Linked DNA regions of Nothobranchius furzeri. The protein of the gene in region 2 interacts with the protein of the main gene of each other region in a pairwise test. Links are inferred from orthologs where the notes say so. Each region holds a gene or a part of one and is shown on either strand. Other genes may lie near its edges. The genes, in order: sugp1, splicing factor U2AF 65 kDa subunit, snrpa, khdc4, thap1 and srpk2.

Region 1 (3,500 bases), on a different chromosome or scaffold from region 2:
AATCTGTCTGTACACGGGAGAAAATGTCTTTGCTTTATTTGTTCTTTATTTGTTGTAGTCAAAGCCTCACATCCAAACAGTTCCCCATTCACCAGCCCTGTCCCTTCCTTGCCCCTCCTTCCCCTTTCCTCCTCTTATTCCCTATTGGATCTAGACTGGTGGTGTGTGAGGGCCAGTTGAGTACGATACAGTAGTAGAGTGTGAATTGAGTCCCAGTACTAATAGGCTGCTTAAAGTCTCCCCCCCAGTGGACGAGGAAACCCAGCAACTGGTTGAGAATCTGGCCAGGTTTGTGGCGGAGGGTGGCCCTGAGGTGGAAGCCATCGCTGTTGAGCGCAATCGGGACAACCCGTCCTTCAGGTCATTTACAGAAGCTATCTTCTGTTATCCTAAAGCATTTTTGGTTTTTCACAGCCTTCCTTTGCTGAAAAATATCAAAAAATAATCTTCATTCTACTTTTCTTTTAGCTTTTTGTACAACCATCAAAGCCTGGCCCACCAACTTTACAGAGAAAAACTGCGGGAATATCAGGCCACAAACTCTCAGAGCTTTTCGCCTGCAGTGGAAGAATCTAGGGGAAGCATTCACCGACCAGGAATCTCCCCACTGCTCAACAGCACACCCGTGCATCTGAGTCAGGAGTCAGCAACACCGCCTGTCAAACGCAAGAGAAAGAGTAGATGGGGTTCTGAAGATGACAAAGTTCATCTGCCTATTCCTCCAGTTGTTATTCCTCCAGAGGTTAATATCCCAGACCCAAACGCACCTTCCCTCTCCGGTGAGCAAACTTAAGTATCTCTGAAATGTTTTTGTTCGTTATGTGATTAGCTAATATTTCCAAACTTTTTGATGCTAATTTAACCAGTGTTTTTGTTTTTAAAGTCATTACGGATTTTGTTTCCCTTTTTGCTTAAATGTCACACAGTCAGGGACATAACCTAACATTGTAGTAGCGACTGCGGTATTTGAAACTGGCATTTTTCTTTTTTCAGTCCAGGAGCTGAGTGGTCTTGGTTATAAGAAGGGAAAACCTCTCGGTCTGGTTGGAGTGACTGAACTGTCTGAGGAGCAGAAGAAACAAATCAAAGAACAACAAGAGGTAGATACAGACAGCTGTTGTTGTTATTATTATTGTTCACACCCTAACTCAATTTTGGTTTTATATCTCTGTATCCTACATATTGTTTCTCCTCACAGATGCAAGAGATGTATGAGATGATCATGAAGCACAAGCGTGCAATGGCAGAGATGCAGAATCTGTGGGATAAAGCTATGAGAGAACATCAGCATGAGTATGACAGCGATGAAGAAGTGGATGATAAGGCTGGTACCTGGGAACATCAGCTGAGACAGATGGAAATGGAGAAGACGCGTGGTATGATACAGATAAAAACATATTCACGAGAATTTTTAATTCTAGCATCTGTTGATGATAGCATTTTTGTGCTTCACGGTTAGTTACTGCCGTAAAACCTTTTCTTTTCAACATTTGCAGAGTGGGCAGAGTCTCTGACAGAGATGGGTAAAGGGAAACACTTTATTGGTGACTTCCTTCCACCTGAAGAACTGGACAAGTTCATGGAGACCTTTAAAGCACTCAAAGTTAGTACTTCTCTAAATTTGTGTGTTTAGCCTGATTTAACTAAATATATAATTTAGGGGTGTTATGGTAAAGATGGGCAAGCTTACTACAGTAAACATTTTTCGTACATCTGTAGTTTAAAGGGACTCTAAGGAAGTTTGAAGTTTTTATGCTTGCGATCGCCACTCAGGCCTAACGCGTAATGGCAGCTTCAAAAGTAATCTCGTGCATGAGGTGCGCATGCTGTACGTGCACACTCCTTAACGAAAATAACAGCTGAGACAGTCCTGTGTGTGTGTGTGTGTGTGTGTGTGTGTGTGTGTGTGTGTGTGTGTGTGTGTGTGTGTGTGTGTGTGTGTGTGTGTGTGTGTGTGTGTGTGTGTGTGTGTGTGTGCGTGCGTGCGTGCGTGCGTGCGTGCGTGCGTGCGTGCGTGCGTGCGTGTTGCCCGGAGGACAGAAGAACACAGCAAATTAATTAAAATAATGTGCCTCTCTCTGCAGCTGCACTTACTCGTCGGCCTGCCGAATGTGCAGTGTGTGTGTGTTTGTTGGGGGGGGGGTGGCCCAGAGGACAGGAGAACATGCAGCTAATTAATTAAATAATTTGGTTCTCTTCAGCACAGCCGGCAAAGTTTTATGCATGCTCAGATCATTCTCTCCCTTGCTTGAAAAATAGTTCCAAAATGAAAGCTGAACCCACATCTTTTTTATCCTTGAATTCAGTGCCTTTCGGTGGGTCTCAAATAATAATTTGGGCGTCTTATTACCGTAAAAAAATATATCATTAATGTAAAAAAGAAACTCCAAACAAATTATGTTCACACCTGGAATCGAACCCAGTTCTTCTGCATGTAAGTCAGACATCTTACTAGGTGAGCTGAAGCACAAGTGACATTGATTCTATCTGTAACGTTTATATCCTTGATGACAGCTGAAACAGCGTCAATCCAAAGAATGGTTCGGAGCAAAAATCGCTATTTTGTTGCTAATTTGCAGGAAATATTTAGAAGAATGTTCCACAGAAAGTAGCTGAGGGTCCTCAGAAATGTAGCTACAATGTTTCCTCTAGGAATTTTTCCAGATGTGGTGGTGGTGGTGGGGGGGGTTATGACACGTCGTTGTCGACTTCCTCGGCTTATCTGGGTCTGGGCCGTGGGGGCAGCATCCCAACTAGGGAGCTCCAGACCGTTCTCACCCCGGCCACCTCCACCAGCTCCTCCGGCAGGACCCCAAGTCGTTCCTGGACCAGATTGGAGATGTAACCTCTCCAACGTGTCCTGGGTCGACCGGGGGCCTCCTGCTGGCAGGGCATGCCCGAAACACCTCCCCAGGGAGGCGTCCAGGAGGCATCCTGACCAGATTCCCAAACCACCTCAACTGACTCCTTTCGATCCGGAGGAGCAGCGGTTCTACTCCGAGTCCCTCCCGAATGTCCGAGCTCCTCACCCTATCTCTAAGGCCGAGCCCGGCCACCCTACGGAGGAAACTCATTTCAGCCGCTTGTATACGCAATCTCGTTCTTTCGGTCATGACCATAGGTGAGGATTGGGACGTAGATCAACTGGTAAATCGAGAGCCTGGCTTTCTGGCTCAGCTCCCTCTTCACCACGACAGATCAGCTATGACACGTCTCACCTTTATGTTAATATTGTTTTATTTGATGCACTCCACTTTGAACTGCACAAATCCGGCAACTGCTGCATTTTAATAACTAGTATTAAAGGTGAATACACCAATATTTGCACAAGAATAATTTTTGTTTTAAACTCTCAGTGACACACTTTGCAGGGGGGGAGGGGTTGGCATTCAATTTTTCTTGGCATCTGGAAAAACATCTCCTTCTGCCCCCCTTTATTTGACTTTCTGCCCCCTTTATTTTGGTCCAAGCTCATTACTGGGCTGACCCTATTAAAAACG
Region 2 (4,100 bases):
TTACTTTATTTTTTCTGTTGTGAACTTAATGTTTATTTAAAAAAATCCCTGTTAATAGATTAAATCTTCATTACAGTTTTTTCTTGCCTTAATCAGAATTTGTATGTTCTTGTAATAAGAGAAACATTCAAATTCCCCTTACCGTTTCATTAATTTCATTTTAAAAAACTATTAAAACAAATCACTTGCAGTATTTTGTGGTACAGATGCACTTTTGAGAGCATGGCACATCTGAAAATAAAATTTATTTTCATTTTTAAATCAATTTAAACAGAATGTGATGACATTCTAGGTAACATTGTGATTGATGCAATTTGCTTTTCTGACTGCATAACTTGTTCCACTGAAGCCTTCCTTCTAAACAGTTTTGGATTATGTGACTAGGTGTCTAAATAGAACCTTTTGTAAACTATGACTGTCTTTTGCCACAAAGCGAACATTTTCTTGTGAAAATCATTGAACGTACACATGTTTTACATTTTGAGAATTAACTAAATTAGATTGACAGTAACTGTTTTCACTGTCTGAAACTGTTTTCACTCCCAAGAATAACACCAGTGAAATATCACTAAAGCAATTATGTTCCTACAAAAATGTGAGTTTTATCAGTAAAATTCAACACTACCCCTCACAGAGGTGAGAATGCAAATGATTCATTCAAAGTACGTAAAATAGTACAATAAAATTCTTGTTTTCTTAAAACGCGTTTTTCTAAAGGTCATTATTTTCAGCATATACATGTGGTCTTGTGACACATAAGCTGTTGTCTGCCTTATTATGACTTGATAAATACACATTAATATGTGCTGAATGTGATTTTTTGAGTGTCTATTTAAAATTTTAAACAATAGTGTGGTCACTAAATCAAAAGTACTTGTAAACTTTCAGTTTACCAGTTTGCAACAGCTGATAAGTTTTTTGCCAGGACGCAATAATCTGGAGAGAATGAATAAAGTGTCTTATGGTGATCGATTTGACGGACAGGGTTGAAGCTCTTATTCTTTAAACGGAAATTTAGCAAGCATCAACTTCCGGTGTCAGGGGCTACTTGCTTAAGGGAGCAAAAGAAGCGGGCGTACCGAAATCTTTGTTGATTCATGGACTCTTAGATTTCTTGATAGCGTATATTTTTGGTTTATAGAGTTATGCAAGTGCTCCTCGTGGGCTAGTGGTCCTCTTGGATTTGCATCTTGCTTGGGGGAAACTCATTAATTCGGCACTCGTAACGGGCCTTTTCTTCTGGTCTTAGCTAATGTTAGCAGGCTAGCACGAGCACGTTTTTGTTTCTTAAGATTTTTCTCTTTTACGTTGTAAAATATACCACACTGCTAATTTGTAAACCCCTTTTTAACTTTTGATATTTTACTGTCACCAAAGGTGTTACCAGAGGCGAACTAACTAAAGCGGTGTAGGCGAATAGTATTGGTATTTTAAAGTGTTGTTCACCTTGTTGCTAGCTTAAGCTAGCTTCCGCCGACTGAACAACGCATCCCCTGAAAGCGTAACAGGCTTCAACCCAGAAATGTCGGACTACGACGAATTCGAAAGACAGCTATCTGAAAATAAACAAGGTAAATAAAACATTTTTATATAAAATATAAAGAAAAACACTCGAATGGAGTTGAATAGTCGCCATTGGATTTACTGTCCGTGGGTATGTCTATTTACAGGGGTTGGCTCATTATTAGGACGTAGCCTTAAAACATCTAACGTGCGAACTAATTCAGACTAACATTTTTTATTTTTTCCCTCTAGTGTCAATGTCTATGGAAGCGGCAAGCTACGTTTGACAATTGATAAATTCATTGTAAAAGTTAAAAAGTAAAGCTGGGCCTGACTAAAACATGGTGCTCGTCGTCCTACGAGGAGTACTTTACATTCATTTGGTAGTGGTGTAGTTGACAGGGAACACTAAAGTGCTGTTTGCTGATTTGTTATTACATCTCATTTCAGAATAAGTCAATTGCGTCTTAAACAAACGCTAATTTAGCGACTTGACCTAAAAAGATCTTTGCAATCAGGGCCGCTTGGTTGTCGTACAGACAACGAGCTAAATGTTGTAACTTTTACATTTAGCTAGTAATAACATCAAATTGTAGACATTATCATCTACTATTAATAATAAAAAGTAATATTTACTAATTGTAAGGTTTTCGATTGTTTTTTAATTATGTTGTTTGAGCCATAATTAGTAACATTTCTAGAATGATTTTAGTAGTTTAGAGTTGTCACGATGATTAGCAAATTAATTATATTTAGTTTATTATAAAAACACAAGAGGGTATTTTTGTACAATTATTTTGGCAGTAATTGATTATAATGCAAAGATGAAATGTGTATTTTAAGATATTTCCCAACACCTTTTGTACCCTAATATGTCCAACCTGCCCACGCACTTGTTATTTTAGATGTAACACAACAATGACAATACCAGGTGCTCTTAGGGTTTAGTTGTTCACTGAGTAATTGTAAGTTTCCATTTTGTTGCTGTATATTATTGTAATTATCCCAATTTCCACCCAAAACAAAATAACTTTCCTGCCTTTAGGAGATACAAGCTTTGACTTCGTATTTTCATATCTGGGCATTCTATAAATGTCAGGCACTTCTGTTGGTTTACAAGATCTTTATCCCTGCAGCTGAAAGGGACAAGGAGAACCGTCATCACCGTCGGTCCTCGTCCCGCAGTCGTAGCAGAGAGAGGAAAAGGAGGAGCAGAGACAGGGACAGACGCAGCAGGGACCGCCGTGGAGACAGTAAGGAGCGGAGACACCGGCGCAGGTTTGTAGCAGTTTATGATGGCGACAACAAACTGTAAAACCTTTATCCTGTCATGAAATTTAAACTGACACAGTGACCACTACAGTCAGATATGAGACGTGTTGATGAAGCATATAAATAGCTACTGGTGCTTGTGCAAAAGTCGGTATTTAAAGTGATATGACTACATATCTCTAAAGTACAGCACATGTCTGGAGTTTGTTTTAATTCACTAATTTATACAAAAAAAAACATTTTTTTTTCTTTGCTCAACAGAAAACAATTATAACACTAGTTTGTCACTTGAATAAATGCACAGGGGCACAGAAAATGAATGTGTTTTAAGTTAAAGATGAAAAGGTCTCTAATTATTCTGGTCAAGAACTCAAACAAGGTGGTATTTCTGCAGTGTTTTCTCTGTATTTTATTTTCACTCTGCTCTTAACTCTTAATTTGGATGTTACTTGAAAAATCGCTTAGTTACTGTTTAATACAGGGTTTTGAACGGTTATTTTTGTCTATTTTCCCCAAAACACATAGCAACAGCTGCTAATAGGGTTGTCACGGTATGAAAATTTAACCTCACGGTTATTGTGACCAAAATTATCACGGTTTTCGGTATTATCGCTGTATTTTTTAAACGGTGTTGCATATGTTCAGAAAGCATTGATAGTCCTGTTCTACACAAACTGAAATAGTTCTGAAAAGGTTTAACAGTGTTTATTAAACCTAAAATAACACAAAGTCTTAGCAAAAGTGCAACTTTTCACAAGTAAAGGAACAAATAGCTTCTTTTTCTGGAACATGTTACAGTAGTCAGTGCAGGTTTAAATTATACAAATCCAAACATTCAAACCATAAACAATATGTAAACAAATCAAAGAAACACCACTTGTTTTCTCATATACTTGTTTTCTTCATTATCAAAATGAAAATCTAAAACTCCAGTCCACACTTGACTTGAGCACTGTACAAGTCAACCTTAAAAAATATGTATTTAAAATAAATAGCCACTTTAAACAAATTACTAAAATAACTACTACACTGTGTAATCAAATCCAAATGTTCAAGTATAAATGGCATTGAATAAGTAAACAAATCAATGACAAGGAACTAATTGTATATTTCTCTTCATCATCAACAAATAAGATGCTTCATCCAGCAACAGGGTGTCCGTGACACGGTTTAAATGCTGGCAGAGGACGCTGCGGCTGCAGTATATAGTGACTCGTTGCATTCTCCCTCAACCAAAAGTCCTCACGTCATGCATTTAAGCTAAAACGCTAATGTTAACTTACCTTGCACTGGCTGTAGAGACGTGGGTGATGGTCACGCAGATG
Region 3 (3,830 bases), on a different chromosome or scaffold from region 2:
CCGGCACATCTTAGAAAGGCCTCCTCACTGGAAACTTTTAAATCATCTTTAAAGACCCACCTTTTTAGCTTGGCTTTCAACACGTTTTGGATTTCTATTTGATTTGTGTTTTATTTTAGTGTGCTTTTAACCTTACACTGTATTCTATTTTATGCTTTTATGTTTTTATGTTCAGCACTTTGGTCAGCGAGGGCTGTTTTTAAAGTGCTTTATAAACAAAGTTGGCTTGGCTTGATTAAGCAAATGCAACTCTAAACTCAATTCCTTTCTTTGACATTTCAGACAGGAAATGTTGAGTTATCCTTTATGCTCAAACCTGTTCACACACACACACACACACACACACACACACACACACACACACACACACACACACACACACACACACACACACACACACACACACACACACACACACACACACACACACACACACACACACACACACACACACACACACACACACACACACACACACAGCGAAAGAAAGAACAGTCTAGTGTTTTACCAATTCAAATTTTAATCAAGATAAAAAAAAAAGAATAGCTCCAGGTACAATGTCTGGTGGACCAGACACTGGGTGCAATGCTTTAACAGTTTATAATAAAAAATTTAAACTATGAAACAGAAAAACAGAGAAGTGGACACCAAGTTGCGCAAGCATTACAGATTAAAGCCAAACCATTGCACAAAGTTAGAGCTCCCAGTTTTTCACTCCAACTTTCTTAACAGCAACTTGACTCAGATACTTACATGTACGGACATGTATGCAAATTAAATCAGGACCTGGTGGAAGATGCGTTATTTCTTGGCAAAAGAAATCTTCATGGCGTTCGTCTGAGTGATCTTAAAGCCCTGCAGAGCATCTCGTGCCGCGCCAGCCTGCACCTCGTTTTCAAACTCCACAAAGGCGATGTCGTGACGACCAGGAACAAGACGCACCTCTTTGAAGCCGGGAAACCTTTAACGCACAGAGCAGCTCAGTTACAATTACAGAAAAAACAGTTTGAGAGAATTAAATTCTCAGATTATTTGCAATGTTAGCATCACAAAACAGTCAAAGTTGATCCATTTTTACGCATCTGTTTAAATGTATGACTAGAAAATGAGTACTGACTGGTTGAAGAGCATGGACAGCATGAGTTCGTTCGTCTCCTCTGGCAGGTTGGTGAGAAAGAGAATGTGGTTGGGTGGATTTTCTGAAACCTGTGGGAAGAGAGTAAGGATTAAACTACCAGGACAGGAAACAAAACGTTCTGTGAGGAAAAAGAACACAAGCTACCTGCTGAGGCATCTGTCCTGGCATCATCTGACCAGGAGCAATCCCACCAGGAGGAATCTGGCCTGGAGCCATCCCAGGAGGAGGCATCATTCCAGGAGGGGGCATGTAAGGTGGCTGGCCTGGAATGTGCATCATGCGAGGAGCCTGGTTCATTGGTGGCATTCCCTAAAGAATGACAAACGTTTAGTTTCTATTCATGTTAATTGAGCTTTTAACTCTTAATGCATCTAAAACCTGCCGTTACTTCACTAACAAATATCTAGATTGTTTAACCATGATTGTAAAAAACACCTAGTGCACTCACTGGGATTGCAGAAGGTACCCCAGCAATCGCTGCAGCATTTTTTTTACTTCCTGTAGATTCAGGTTTGGGCTTCTTCTTTTCTTTTTTACGGTCACGCTCCACAAAAGTCCCCTTCATCTTAGCTATAATATCCGAATCCATTTTAGAGTACTGGATTCGCTGCAAGAAAGTATATATTTGAGTCACACGTGTACTTCCATCAGAAATGTCTAAATTGTGCATTATTAAACATGTTTAATAGACGTACCATAGGTTTATCATAGAAAGGAAAACCCTGCATGGACCTTAATGCATTAGAAGCGCTGTTAATCTCTTTAAAGATAACGAACGCCTGACCCTTCATCTTCAGGTTTCGTGCGACCAAAATGTCCAAAATTTGCCCAAACTGAGAGAAGATGGCATAAAGGGACTTCTTCAGCTCTGAGGGAGACACACAAACAACAAATAATCAATAACAATAATAAAGGAGACTTTGCATTAATTGTGCGTGAAATAAACAAAGAAAAGGAAAGAAAATGATGCGAAACTCACCATCTTTCTTTATCTTCTCGTTTAGGTTGTTGATGTAGATCGTGTGATTGGGGCGCACCTCTGCTGGAGTGGTCATGTTTAAGGCTAGGAGAATAAATAAAATAGCTAAAAATAAAATAAAGACTCAAACATGTGCTTATTTTCACGCAGTTTCAAGTCCAATTTCATTCAAAAATCCAGCATCTAAACGCAATGGTAACAAACATGGCGGAAGGCAACAACAGCGTGTTAGCTAAAAGCTAACTAACAGCATTTAGCGTCATTAATCTGCCTAAATACTTCTACTAGTTCCAACGTTACCTCAAATCGTTTAAGCTTGTCAAAAATATTTTAAATCAACAGTTAAAATGCACTTAACCATGTAAAACGCGTTAGATGTTGACGTAGTACCAACCTGAAATTGAATGAAAGCTCCGAGACTTTTTTCCCCAGAAAACAAGAGGAAGAAATTCTTCTTCTTTGTCTTATTTGTTGGTTACCAAACCGTTCTGGTGAATTACCGCCACCACACGGTGTAAATCAAAATAGCGAAACTCAAAACACCATTTAACTTACAATGGCTAAAACTAAAATGGTTTTTCTTCTTATTTACGCTGCTCTGGGTGGCTGCATGTTGGAGTAGCTCTGTTAACTATATGTAAGTTTAGCCTTTTCTTGGACATTTTTTCTTCTAGTTTCTCAAGAAAAACGGTATTTTTTTGGACACTTTACTTTTCTGTTTCTGGTGCTGTGAAGCTTGGAGGACTTTTGCTGCTATTGTTTAGGTTTTTTCACTTTTTGAGCATTTGTTATGATGCGTAACCATGGCAACAAGCTGGTTTACAATCGGGAGCAGCTGTTTAACATTGAAAAGGCTGAAATAATACCTCAACTGACGCGACAAATCCCAAATTAACTAAAACGCAAGAAGCGTGGGTGCAGAGCGGGAGCAAAACGGAGACAGAGAAAGAGGAAATTCAAACCATCTCTCCCATCGATCATAATGGGCAATGTGAGATCACTGGCCAACAAGATGGAGGAACTCCAAGCCCTTTCAAGGACTCAGTCAGAGTTTCGGCACTTTCTGAACCACTGGAGGAGATAATGCAAAGAAGGATTCTCCAGAGAATCAAGAAAATTATGGACAACCGTGAGCATTCTCTTCACAAGACTGTCCGACAACGGAAGAGTGTCTTCAGTCAGAGGCTTCTTCAGTTTCGCTGCAACACTACTGGAGATCCTTCCTGCCAACAGCCATTGTAATATACAATAACTCTTTGATGACTTGATTATTATTATTATTCTGAGATACTACAGCAATCAGTTTCCCCCTGGGATTAATAAAGTATTTTTGAATTGAATTGAACAGTAAATCAGAAATACTGGAAAAACATGACGTCAAAAAAAGGCAGAGTAGACAACCTAAGAAGAATAACAGTAACTTTACAATAAGGTACGTAAAATTATGCTTCGTAACTAGGGAACGACTTAGGGAGTAATGAGTAATGAAGCAGGGAAGAATAGGTAGTTAACCAATACATACTGGTGAAAACCCAACAGTTTTATTCAGGGACTAATCTTTGAACGCATTAAGGAACAAATCCCAAATGAATGTAGTGCCTGTGGACTTTTTTTTTTTGTAAACTTCATGAACAATGCAGATAATTTGCAACATCACAGTGATTTAACATCACTGTTTCATCTTGACTTCACACGTCTGTCACTTTTTTGTCC
Region 4 (3,500 bases), about 180 kb from region 2:
TGCTGCCCCCGCGACCCGGACCCGGATAAGCGGAGGAAGACGACGACGTTTTTTTTCAGCATCAGCAAACCGTAACCAGAACAGATCACACAGCAGTGTGTTAATTGAAGGCAGCGATATTATCAAGTTATTCATCTCTGCCGTTCGGTGGAAAACATATTTGGCTTTTGTCGTCGTCCAGACGGAGTTGAAAAACAAGGCGATCAGAACCTTAAGAGCTTCCTTTATCTGAGGATTGTCTCGCAGGCGTTTATCAGCTTTTACCAACAAAGTGAGGCGTGTAAAGTGAAAGGTACGCCACACAGACATGTACCTCCTGGTGGCTTCTGCAGATGTTCCACTGACATAACATTTTGCACACTAAAGAATAGAAGGTGTAAGTGACTTTGTTCTGCTGCGTGAAACAAGTATTTCCTGTCGTTTCTGGAAGGTGTTGATGTAGCTTAATAACTCGCACAGATTTTTTCTTTGCTCGTTGTTGAACATTTTAAGCCCTAACAGTCCTCACATACGACGCTCTCCTCCCCAGGTTCATTCTGAATATTCTCGCTACCTTAGTCAAATGAACACAGTGATGCCAACACAACAAGGTAAAACACAACTCGCACCTTTTTGTGTGTGGGTGACTTAGCTGTCTGGTTTTACATGTTCTGGTCTTGTCCTTCAGGCTTCACCCAGACTCCAGTGATGAACGAGGTGTCCCCTCAGCCTCCCTACTACCCTCCAGCTGGATACCAGTCTTCCTACTCACAGGCTGTGCCACCAGTTACGCCTCTTCCTGTCCCACCACCTTTTCCGGTCCCACCACCTGCACCTATGGCCGCACCTTCAGGCGTGCCCTCTCAGTACCCTTTACGCCCGGCCCCTGCACCTGTTCCTGCCCCCATTTCTACCCCCGTTCCTGCTCCCACTGTGGCTCCTGCTCCAGACACACTACAGCAGGTAAGGCTTGGCTATCATGTTAGCGATGTGTTGCTACAGATCTGATCTGTTTCACACAAGTTCTCACGGGGTTTTTGCTGCAGGTCATTCCACTAAACTGACATGTTTATATATGTATATTATATATATAATATATTATATATATTTATATAATGTATATAATATATATATATAATATATATATATACATATATTTATATATTATGTATATATATATATATACATAATATATTATATATATATTATGTATATATATATTATAAATATATATATATATATATATTATATATATATATATATTTATAATATATATATATATATATATATATATATATATATATATATATATATTTATAATATATATATATATATATATATACATAATATATTATATATATATATATTTATAATATATATATATATAATATATATATATTATATAAATATATGTATATATATTATATATATAATATATTATGTATATATATATTATAAATATATATATATAATATATATTATGTATATTTATATATTATATATATATATATAATATATATTATGTATATTTATATATTATATATATACATAATATGTATATAATATATTATATATATAATATACATATATTTATATAATATATATATATTATATATAATATATATATATATATTATATATAATATACATATATTTATATAATATATATATATATTATATGAATATATGTATATATATATTATAAATATATAATATATATAGTAAGTATATATATATATTATATATATAATATATATTATATATACATAATATATGTATATATAATATATATTATATATATATTATATATATATACATAATATATATGAAATCAAATCAAACTTTATTTATAAAGCACTTTTCATGCACAGGAAGCAACACAAAGTGCTTAACAGATTAAAATGACCCATATAACCCACATTCCCTCCCTTTCCCACAGTTTCACCCCCAATCCACAAACCATTCCCAGGCGCACGCACACACACACACACACACACACACACACACTCGTCCACATTAAAAGACCACAGTAAACACTAGGCTGAGCTCAGATTGGACAGGTAATGAAAGACACGCCATCAAGGGAGCCATCTGCCTCGACAGCAGCAGATCCACAGCAGCAGCAAGACACCAATCCAGGGTGCCCTGGGAGGGAGGGTGACAACCCCCCACCATTACCTGGGCACTACCCAAGGAGCGCCCCAGCCGCCGCCACCGACCACCGGTCCTGAGGCAGAGGGCTCCACAGAGGAAACACTGGAAGGATGAAATACGTAACATGTAAAATAACAAGAGCTAATGTGGATAGTAAAATTTCCTATAAAATTTGATTATATAACTAAAACGACATAAATATGTAACACAACAGTGATTAAAATAAATAAGTAAAACAAGCAATGCAATAAATAGTAATCAGTTTAAAGCTAAACTAAAAAGGTGGGTCTAGAGCCTGTTCTTAAAAACATGAACGTTCTCCGCGGCCCTGAGATCCTCCGGCAGCCCGTTCCAGAGGCGAGGGCCATGATAACTCAAATATACAGCTGAGCAGATTCTTAAGACACTTGTACGACTAACTCTCCCGTAGGTCTCGACTCACTGAGACGTTGCTGGCTGCATTTGGGTCTGATGACACTTGTCCTTAAACCTGTTGCATTTCAAATAATTTAAGGATAAGAATCAAAGACATTGTGACAATGAGAAGCATTTTGCAAAATGCAGGTTAAAGAAATGTTTGTATGCGTCATCGTTTTGTCTTTGTTTGGGTTCTGAGAGTTGATTCGGCCCAATCTGTTTCTCCTCTGTGCAGCAGACTCTTCCTTCTGTACATTTTCCTCCTCCTCCTGCCGCAGTGCCACCCAAAGCCCCGCCTCCCGCCGCTCCATCCAATCCCCCGCAGAAACGACGCTTCACCGAGGAGGTGCCAGACGAGCGGGACAGCAGCCTGTTTGGATATCAGGTAAAGAAAACGTTCTTTTGCACTCGCACCTCCTCGTGGGTCTGTAGTGGAGTTTACTCCTCCCTGGTGCTCCACTTCTTCATTTCCATATGTATTTATTCTCATTATTTCCCCCTCAGTGTGTAGAGTTCCTTCCTTTCAGCCAATCGTATTTAAGACCCGTCTAAAATGTCCAGCTTAATAATTCATCCTTCCTCCATTCCAACGTTTTATGATTGATGCATGCTATTTCCTGCTGAGGCGCTCTTACGCTTTAGTTGTGACGTGTCTATCGTAAGGATCGAGGAACACCCGTGTAGTCAGACTTCTATTAAATATGATCAGTAAGTAAGTAAAACTTTATTTATATAGCACTTTTCACAGATAAAATCACAAAGTGCTTCACAACAAACATAAAAAGGCAAAACAGGACAGGAGCACAAGGTCAACTTACATAAAAGCTTGTCTAAATAAAGTGTCTTCAGCTGCTTTTTAAAAGAATCATCCGAGTCGGCCACACGAAGAAACAAGGGCCGGGCGTTCCAAAGTCTGGGAGCTACAGCTTGAAAGGACAGGTCCCCTCTAGT
Region 5 (4,165 bases), on a different chromosome or scaffold from region 2:
CGGTCGCGAACGAACCGGCTCTAAGAGCCGACTCTTTGAAGTGAACGATGGGAGCCCTCCCCCTCCCCCCCTGCCTTGGTGAAAGCTGCAGGTGATTGGTCAACATGTGTAACTGCGTGTCCAGACTGTCCACACACAGAGCAGTAGGGGCGGAGAAGAGGGAGGATCAGACTCAGACACACAGCAGAGCACATGCGGGCGGAGGGAGGCGAGCGGGAATGAGGAGGAGGAAAAAGGCAGAGAGAGGAGAGTGCGACGAAGACGGTGAGAAAATTAGCGCCAGCAGTCGGAAAGTGGAGATTTCTTAAAGTGTTCAGTTATTAAATCCATAGAAATGATAAATATTTGATACACAGCATTTTTTTACATTAGTAAATCATTTTACAAATAGTTTTGCATTATTTTGGTTATAAATGTATTCTGCGCAAAAGAAAATCTGAGGAGCCACTTGGGAGCCGAAAGAGCCGGCTCTTTTTGGTGAGCTGAGCCATTCCCATCACTAGTACCAGGACCAGAGTGAATAGGGTGTGTGTGTGTGTGTGTGTGTGTGTGTGTGTGTGTGTAAGCATGAGGGATGCATGTACGTCAGGTGGGGTCTTGGACTCCTCTCCTCTGCTGAGACATCTTGAGGTGTTACGACATCTTCGCGTACCCTCCTGCCACTTGTTCTACCGGTGGGCGGTGCCTCGGTCTGCCTGCATATCTAAATGCACTATGAATTATTATGGTATGCTTCCCAGCATAAGCAGTTACTGTTATATATCCTCATGCTGTTGGAGCAGCGATGTTTTGTCTTGTTGTATTTTTGTGTGTCTCCTTTTCACGCTCTCTCTCTCTCTCTCTCTCTCTCTCTCTCTCTCTCTCTCTCTCTCTCTCTCTCTCTCTCTCTCCAGAAGCTGATTCTTCTTCATCATTTATTATTTATATAATTCATCCTCCCTCACCTCTTCCTTCACTCTCCCCCTTTCTCTCACAGCTGTCTCTGTGTCCGAAAGTGTTGCTAATAAAGTTTTGGTGTCAGCAGTGGCTACGGCAGAAGCTGTGAGCTCCACCTGAGAGAATAAAGCTGCAAGGCTCGTCTTCAGCAGTCAGACATCAGTTCTGGTTGCTTCACAGCCGGACAGGACACGGTAAAAAGACAACAAAAGGATATTTGTATGAAATCAAGTGATAGTTATTAAAAGCATTCAAAGAAAAGATGTTTTTTGTCCAACTGCTCTTCTGTGACTATTTTATTTTATCCTTTACTTATTTTATTTTTATTTTTTTTATCTGCAACGATTTATAATAAAAAAAATTCTAACAAGTTTCGCTTCACACACTAAAATGACAGTTACCAGGAAGAGAGGCCAATCAGGGGGCAGAACGCGGGTCAGGTGACCCTGTCTCCGCCGCCATGTTTGTTATTGGCAGTGAAGCCTGATCGGACTGACGGCAACGAGGTTTGGCGGAGGTTCGGTTCGTTTTCTGGGATGAAACAATGGTCCAGACGTGCTCAGCCTATGGCTGTAAGAACCGGTACCACAAAGACAAAGATGTCTCCTTCCACAAGTAAGTTCGGCTCCGGTGTTTCTGCGCCGACTCTCGTTAGCCCGCCCGAGCTTCGGTCCGGTCTCAGAAACAGCCTCGTTCAGTCACAGCAGTCTATTCATTCATGTTTTCGTGCTGAATGAAGCAGAAGTCCGAGCAGCGGCCTCACAGAGGAACCACCTGTTCAACAGGTGTCCAGGTGTTGTAGTCCCATTAGTCTGACATGTTGGAGCAAAACCAGAGCAGCTAGTGGTTAGGACCAGTTTATTCTACAAACACAGAAACACCTCCAGTTGTCCAGACTGGTGGAGCATAAAACCAGGTGTGGCGAGGCCTCAGGCTAGATGTGGAGGGGCATCAGAGCAGGTGTGGAGCAGCAGCAGCCAAGTGAGGAGGAGCATAAAACCAGGTGTGGAGAGAACTCAGGCCAGGTGTGGAGGAGCGTCGGCGCAGGTGTGTTTCACACTTCCTGGTGTTTAGATAAACATTCAGTACTTCAGTAAAGTTGCTGTAATTAATGCGGCGTCATCGGGTCACGTGGAGAAACTCAGGTTTTTATTAAAAGTCGTTTATTTTATCGCTGGAATCATTTTGGATTTTTTCACTAAAATCTTCATCATTCTGCTTTCTCACAGATCAGCTACAGAGGCTGGTTCTGGCTCGGGTTCTGGTTCCTCCAGAACTCATCAGTCACTTTGTCTGAGTTGACGTTTGTTCATTTTCATCACCACCACCGTGCTTTGCTCTGATGGAGTGAGAACATGTCCTCCTTCCGGTGGAGGTCATGACCTCCATGCTAATCATCTCTGGCTGTAGAGACGGTCTGGATTTGTCCTCAGAACCAGAACCAGACCAAAGCTCCGTCATCCTCTCCTGATCTAGAGCAGACTGGACTCACAGGATGGGTCCTTTTTAGTCCACTGGACCTGGTTTCTTTTCTCAGCCTCTGATGGTTTGGGTTCCTGACGGTTCTTGAAGACGTTTCGGATCTTCTCGTGTTTCTACCTGCAGCCGTCGGTTTTACTGAGCCCAGTTGTGTTTAGAAGTAGAAGTGATGAGGTAGTTCTGTTTCACCTGTCTTCAGTGTTGGGAGTAACGACGTTTAAATATAACGGCGTTGCTAACGGCGTTCTTTTTTAGGTAACGGAATAATTTAATTGATTACTTTTCCCACTGCTGCAACGCCGTTACCGTTACCACGTGCTTGTCGAACGTTGAGCAGCAGCGTGAGGCTTTCTGACCGCCACACTTCAGCTGCAGCCAGGGAGAGAGAGGTGTCGGTAACGCACTTACAAACACGATGGTGATTGGCCGGGTGGGCGGAGACCCTCACGGTCTCAGTCGCTGCATTCTGTAGACACAACAGAGCAGTGATGGGAATAACGCCGTTTAAAATAACCGCGTTAATAAAAAAAAAGTGTTCCTGTAACGAGCAAACTAATTAATTACCGTCTTCTTTTATCAAAACGTCATTTCTGTTACTGATAAGGAAATGCGTGCGTTAAGCAGCGCGGTGTGTTGAAGCTGTCATCAGCTGATCAGGAGCTAAAGAGGTAGATGTTTTCATCCAAGAGCATCACGGACCGTGAAGAACGAGGAAGACGTGATGAATGATTCGCTGCTGCAGTAGCGAATCTGTGGGTCTGCAGCCGTGCTCTTAGCGTGACAGCGGGACGTCCCGAAGGTCCGCTCACCTGTTCACCTCTCAGACGTCCTGATCTTCTACCTTCCTAGATCATCCAGCTGTAACCTGTTTCTGATCATGTCTTTAGTCCCGCTGTAACACTGATGCATCAGTCTCAGACGTCATGGAGCTCAGGTGTTATCAGAACTACCTGTGTGTGTTTACCACCCAGCTTCAGCTCTTCTGTGGTTGGGTCTGACCCAAGTTAGTAAATGTAAGTCCTCCATCAGGCTTGTGCCTCTTCTAGTGTCATTTTAAAGGATTTTATTTATTTATTTAACCGTTACTAGATTACCTGCAACAGAAATGCTACTAAAAACACACAATTATGTGAAGCTGGAAAAATTAAAATACCGTAGAAAATTACATTTATTTCTGTAATTTAACTAGACTGAGAGACCATTTAAAGGCTCGGGAACCTTTACAGGTGTTTCTATTTGCAATTTTAAATGTTAGCTGATTGGGTTTTTGTTAAATATCACACAGAGACCTTTTAATAGTCTAGATAAGTGTAATGTTCCTATTAGTAGTTCCTCCTGTTAAGTGCTTATTTATTTAAATTATTCAGGTTTTATTATGTTCCAGTCATTAGTCATTTATATTTCACTATTATAGTAATTCTTGCATTCTTTAATGAAAAAAGTAACTAAGTAGTTATTTTTCTTGGTAATTAGTTACTTTTATAATCTTGTAACTGAGTTACTTTTTTTGACAAAGTAATCAGTAACTATAACTAATTGCTTTTTAAAGTAACGTTCCCAACACTGCCTGTCTTCATCTGAATGACGTTCCTGTGAGGACTTCACTTCCCCAGCTGTTGTACCATTTGACGTGTTTTCCCAGGTTTCCTTTGGCCCGTCCAGATGTTTGTGGGAAATGGGTCGCTGCCATGAGGAGGAACAACTTCAAACCCACCAAGTACAGCAACATCTGCTCCCAGCATTTCACCAA
Region 6 (3,500 bases), on a different chromosome or scaffold from region 2:
GATGACTTGTTAAAGGGGTTAGGGTCATCATAAACTTCACATACTTGCTGGGTTTGGCGCCTGACCTTCAGTAAACAATGATCTCTCCAGTTTTTTGTAAAGTTGAATGAAAACATTTCCACACAAGAAACGTCATCGTTTTAGACTGACAGTTCAGCTCTGAGTTCATTCAACAGTCATATTTCCCACACTCATTAATCTTAGTTCCAGTTCTGGCAGAAATAAGTGAAACAAAGACACAAACATTACATTTTTGTTTGAAACACAAACAGCAAGACACTATAACGTTTTTTAACTGTGACATTTTGGCTACTCAGATATCTCCTGTCCTGTCAGTCCGCAGTAGAAGGATGAATGTGTGAAAGAGGTCTGTCAGAATAGTTTTTGTGGTGTGATAAAAATCCAACTGTTGCTCTAGTGTCTGTGGGAAAGACAGCCAAGCTCAGACGCAGGTTAATGTGGTCAATCATATATTCTGTCACATGAATGCCGTGTGTTTTTACTGCAGAGTGAAGAACTTTGTGGCGATGAAGGTGGTGAAGAGCGCCCAGCACTACACAGAAACGGCCTTGGATGAGATCAAACTGCTGCGATGTGTGAGAATCTGATTGGTTGATTTTGTCCTTTTCTATCTTGTTCTTATAACAGGTCTTTTCATCACACTCCCTGCATTTTTCTGCCACTCTGAATCCTTCCTGCAGCCTTTCTTTTGTCTTCCCACACTCCCGCAGCACCACCACTCCTTTGTGGCTTATCTTTTCTTCCTCCAGCCTGTCTCACCTCATCTTCTCTACGATTTCACCCCCCAGGTGAGAGAAAGCGACCCCGGTGATCCCAACAAGGACATGGTGGTTCAGCTGATTGACGACTTCAAGATCTCTGGGGTCAACGGCATACGTATCCTGATCAGAAATGTGCTCATCGGTGAGGTTGTGTGTGTTTCTGTGTGTCAGAGACGTATGATAATGTGAGTCCTTGACTCCTCATCCCAGATGTGTGTATGGTGTTCGAGGTGCTGGGTCATCACCTGCTCAAATGGATCATTAAATCCAACTACCAAGGTCTGCCGCTGCCGTGTGTCAAGAGCATTATCAAACAGGTGACTGACACACACACACACACACACACACACACACACACATCATGGTTTATTTATTCTGAGTGAAAACCATATTCTGGTCGAGCAGTGACAAATCATGATTGTAAAACCAAAATTTACGAGTCCCTCTATTTGTACAGTGGACCATTTAATAATTCTCAGGCCAATGAAAGAAGAGCAGATACTTGTTTGCTTCAGACTCAAGCATGGCTGCTTTTCTCAGACACGAGCCTCAGAGATTTTTACCCATCAGCCACCTGGTCAGCATGTGATGACGCTGAGTATTTTCAGCGACTGTTGGCCTCTCACAACCTGAGCTGGAGAAGAACAGAACAATGAATGATCTTGTTTCTGTCTCAGTCCCAAAGCCAAAACAGTTGACCTTAAACATTGGTATTTTTGTTTTTGTTAATCTGAAACTCACAAACAGAAAGATGTATTCATTTTGACTAGGGCTGGGCGACATGGCCTAAAATCAGTATCACGATATATCGAGGATTTCACCTCGATGACGATAAACGGACGATAACTAAAGGTACGCGTAGAAACAAAAGTTTTCCACTAGGTGGGGCTGTCACATTTTTACATGACTCAAGGTGGTGCAGCTTCTTAAAGGGACATGGACGTTGCCAACCTACGCACATCTTTTCATTTTTTTTATTATCAATTTTATCGACATGGGAAAAATTATCTCTAAGAGTCAGAAATTTTGATAATGATACATTTTCGATTTATTGCCCAGCTCAAATTTTGACCCAAATAGATAAATGTATGTGTGTTGTCATCAGGTCCTGCAGGGGCTGGACTACCTCCACGCCAAATGTAAAATCATTCACACAGACATCAAGCCAGAGAACATCCTGATGTGTGTTGATGACGTGTTTGTGAGGCGGATGGCCATGGAGGCAACGGAGTGGCAGAAAGCTGGAGCCCCACCGCCGTCTGGATCAGCAGGTAGCAACACACACACACACAGTCAGAGGAGTGGAGGTCACGCTGAATACAGGAACCACAACAGGCAAAAACACAATTTTTATGCTTAAATGTTTCATTTCAATCAAAAGAGGCATGATGTGTCTGTTCTGGTGTTCTAATTCAGCTGAACGCCTCAGAGGTAGTCTTAAAGCTGTATTTAGATTAAAACCGTTATAGCAATGTCTGATTGATAACACTTGAAAATGTGAAGTTTGTGGAGAATAATACAAACCCTTAAAGTAATAAAGTCTTATCTAACCCTCCCACTGTCTTTATGGGTGACCCCACGAGGAAAGCTGACCATTGAGCAGAGTTGATGGTTTATGCCTTGAGGTCCACGTGGCAGGGGTGAGGCGGTCATCACTCCTCACCCCTGCCACATGGACCCAAGGGATGAACCATCAACCCTGCTCAGTGGTACACTTTTCTCGCGGGGTCACACCCATTAGGACAGTGGGAGGGTTTAAGATCAAATAATTTAGATTTGTTTGCAAAGTGGGGACAACTGTAATATGGCAGGAAGCCACCTCATATTCCTAAATTGAATATGATTTAATGCTTTCAAACACCTAATGACTCCTTATCTTTCCCTCTTTACTAGTAAAGCGTTTAGTGCAGAAAATAAATGCACAGATGAGCTTTTAATGTTTCCCTCTGGTACTTGAAACCAATTCCTCTTGCTTTTCCTCTCTTATCTCCAACTTCCTGTTCAGAAGAAAAGAAAGAATCAGGTCTTTTAGTGAAAGTCTGTAGAAACTCTACATGAACCCTGTCCTCTTGGTGAACCTCGCCACAAGCTGTCAGTTACTTACATCAGCCGGTAGTCTGCTTCAGCTTCAGGGTAACCACTTAAACTCCTCGCATTGCTACATTTATAAAACACAAACTCAACCTTCAAAAGTCGCTCAGGTATTTAACAGGTTCAGGCTAAAATGGGTTTAAAGCTGGAGCATGAAAGGTGAAGAAAAGTGTTCCTGTGTCAAATTTATATCTTAACACCATCTTACTTGTTGGTTTCCAGAAGGGCCTCAGTTCTGAGAAACAATTTACTTCCTACAGCACGGATGAGGTCATAACTAGTCTGAGTCAGCCAAGACCAAAGTAGATTAGGACCACATTTAAACAGTCCCAGTCTCCTAACCTTCACCTGTCTCCCTTCATTTGTTTTATGAACGTGTGCACCATCTTTCATCATGCTGCATGTGTTAAAGACACTGCAACTAATACATTTAACAATATAATAATAGAGACATAAAACCCACACCACCTGTAGATCCTCCATCTGAGGACAGACATGTACAGGACTAGATGCAGCAGGTTTTTGTTGAAGATACTAATCCTGACACTCCATTAGGGTACCTTAGGGCCAGAGCCACCACTATTTCATGCTGGAAGCGTCAGCGGTGCGGAACGGCAGCGGAAAAGT

The links.
Region 1: the proteins of splicing factor U2AF 65 kDa subunit (region 2) and sugp1 interact in binary tests that used the Homo sapiens proteins (3 or more experiments, as listed by UniProt). The link is inferred for Nothobranchius furzeri from reciprocal best matches to the Homo sapiens genes U2AF2 and SUGP1.
Region 3: the proteins of splicing factor U2AF 65 kDa subunit (region 2) and snrpa interact in binary tests that used the Homo sapiens proteins (3 or more experiments, as listed by UniProt). The link is inferred for Nothobranchius furzeri from reciprocal best matches to the Homo sapiens genes U2AF2 and SNRPA.
Region 4: the proteins of splicing factor U2AF 65 kDa subunit (region 2) and khdc4 interact in binary tests that used the Homo sapiens proteins (3 or more experiments, as listed by UniProt). The two-hybrid records come from large-scale screens. The link is inferred for Nothobranchius furzeri from reciprocal best matches to the Homo sapiens genes U2AF2 and KHDC4.
Region 5: the proteins of splicing factor U2AF 65 kDa subunit (region 2) and thap1 interact in binary tests that used the Homo sapiens proteins (3 or more experiments, as listed by UniProt). The two-hybrid records come from large-scale screens. The link is inferred for Nothobranchius furzeri from reciprocal best matches to the Homo sapiens genes U2AF2 and THAP1.
Region 6: the proteins of splicing factor U2AF 65 kDa subunit (region 2) and srpk2 interact in binary tests that used the Homo sapiens proteins (3 or more experiments, as listed by UniProt). The link is inferred for Nothobranchius furzeri from reciprocal best matches to the Homo sapiens genes U2AF2 and SRPK2.

What each region holds. Positions count from the first base shown.
Region 1 is NC_091751.1:56,746,240-56,749,739, reverse strand, and holds part of sugp1 (SURP and G-patch domain-containing protein 1), read left to right. Parts: intron 1-236; coding exon 237-360; intron 361-468; coding exon 469-779; intron 780-993; coding exon 994-1,100; intron 1,101-1,198; coding exon 1,199-1,376; intron 1,377-1,496; coding exon 1,497-1,603; intron 1,604-3,500.
Region 2 is NC_091745.1:76,204,262-76,208,361, forward strand, and holds the start of splicing factor U2AF 65 kDa subunit, read left to right. Parts: upstream 1-1,300; 5' UTR 1,301-1,522; coding exon 1,523-1,571; intron 1,572-2,639; coding exon 2,640-2,781; intron 2,782-4,100. UniProt on the Homo sapiens protein: Plays a role in pre-mRNA splicing and 3'-end processing. By recruiting PRPF19 and the PRP19C/Prp19 complex/NTC/Nineteen complex to the RNA polymerase II C-terminal domain (CTD), and thereby pre-mRNA, may couple transcription to splicing.
Region 3 is NC_091753.1:42,104,708-42,108,537, forward strand, and holds snrpa (U1 small nuclear ribonucleoprotein A), read right to left. Parts: upstream 2,639-3,830; 5' UTR 2,512-2,638; intron 2,202-2,511; 5' UTR 2,194-2,201; coding exon 2,118-2,193; intron 2,007-2,117; coding exon 1,834-2,006; intron 1,746-1,833; coding exon 1,587-1,745; intron 1,448-1,586; coding exon 1,283-1,447; intron 1,207-1,282; coding exon 1,118-1,206; intron 962-1,117; coding exon 802-961; 3' UTR 501-801; downstream 1-500. UniProt on the Homo sapiens protein: Component of the spliceosomal U1 snRNP, which is essential for recognition of the pre-mRNA 5' splice-site and the subsequent assembly of the spliceosome. U1 snRNP is the first snRNP to interact with pre-mRNA.
Region 4 is NC_091745.1:76,384,845-76,388,344, reverse strand, and holds part of khdc4 (KH homology domain-containing protein 4), read left to right. Parts: intron 1-529; coding exon 530-590; intron 591-667; coding exon 668-942; intron 943-2,784; coding exon 2,785-2,934; intron 2,935-3,500.
Region 5 is NC_091746.1:71,097,268-71,101,432, reverse strand, and holds the start of thap1 (THAP domain-containing protein 1), read left to right. Parts: upstream 1-1,365; 5' UTR 1,366-1,480; coding exon 1,481-1,551; intron 1,552-3,293; exon of another isoform or gene 3,294-3,426; coding exon of another isoform or gene 3,427-3,428; intron 3,429-4,057; coding exon 4,058-4,165. UniProt on the Homo sapiens protein: DNA-binding transcription regulator that regulates endothelial cell proliferation and G1/S cell-cycle progression.
Region 6 is NC_091744.1:58,288,775-58,292,274, reverse strand, and holds part of srpk2 (SRSF protein kinase 2), read left to right. Parts: intron 1-508; coding exon 509-596; intron 597-809; coding exon 810-897; intron 898-992; coding exon 993-1,099; intron 1,100-1,887; coding exon 1,888-2,053; intron 2,054-3,500. UniProt on the Homo sapiens protein: Serine/arginine-rich protein-specific kinase which specifically phosphorylates its substrates at serine residues located in regions rich in arginine/serine dipeptides, known as RS domains and is involved in the phosphorylation of SR splicing factors and the regulation of splicing.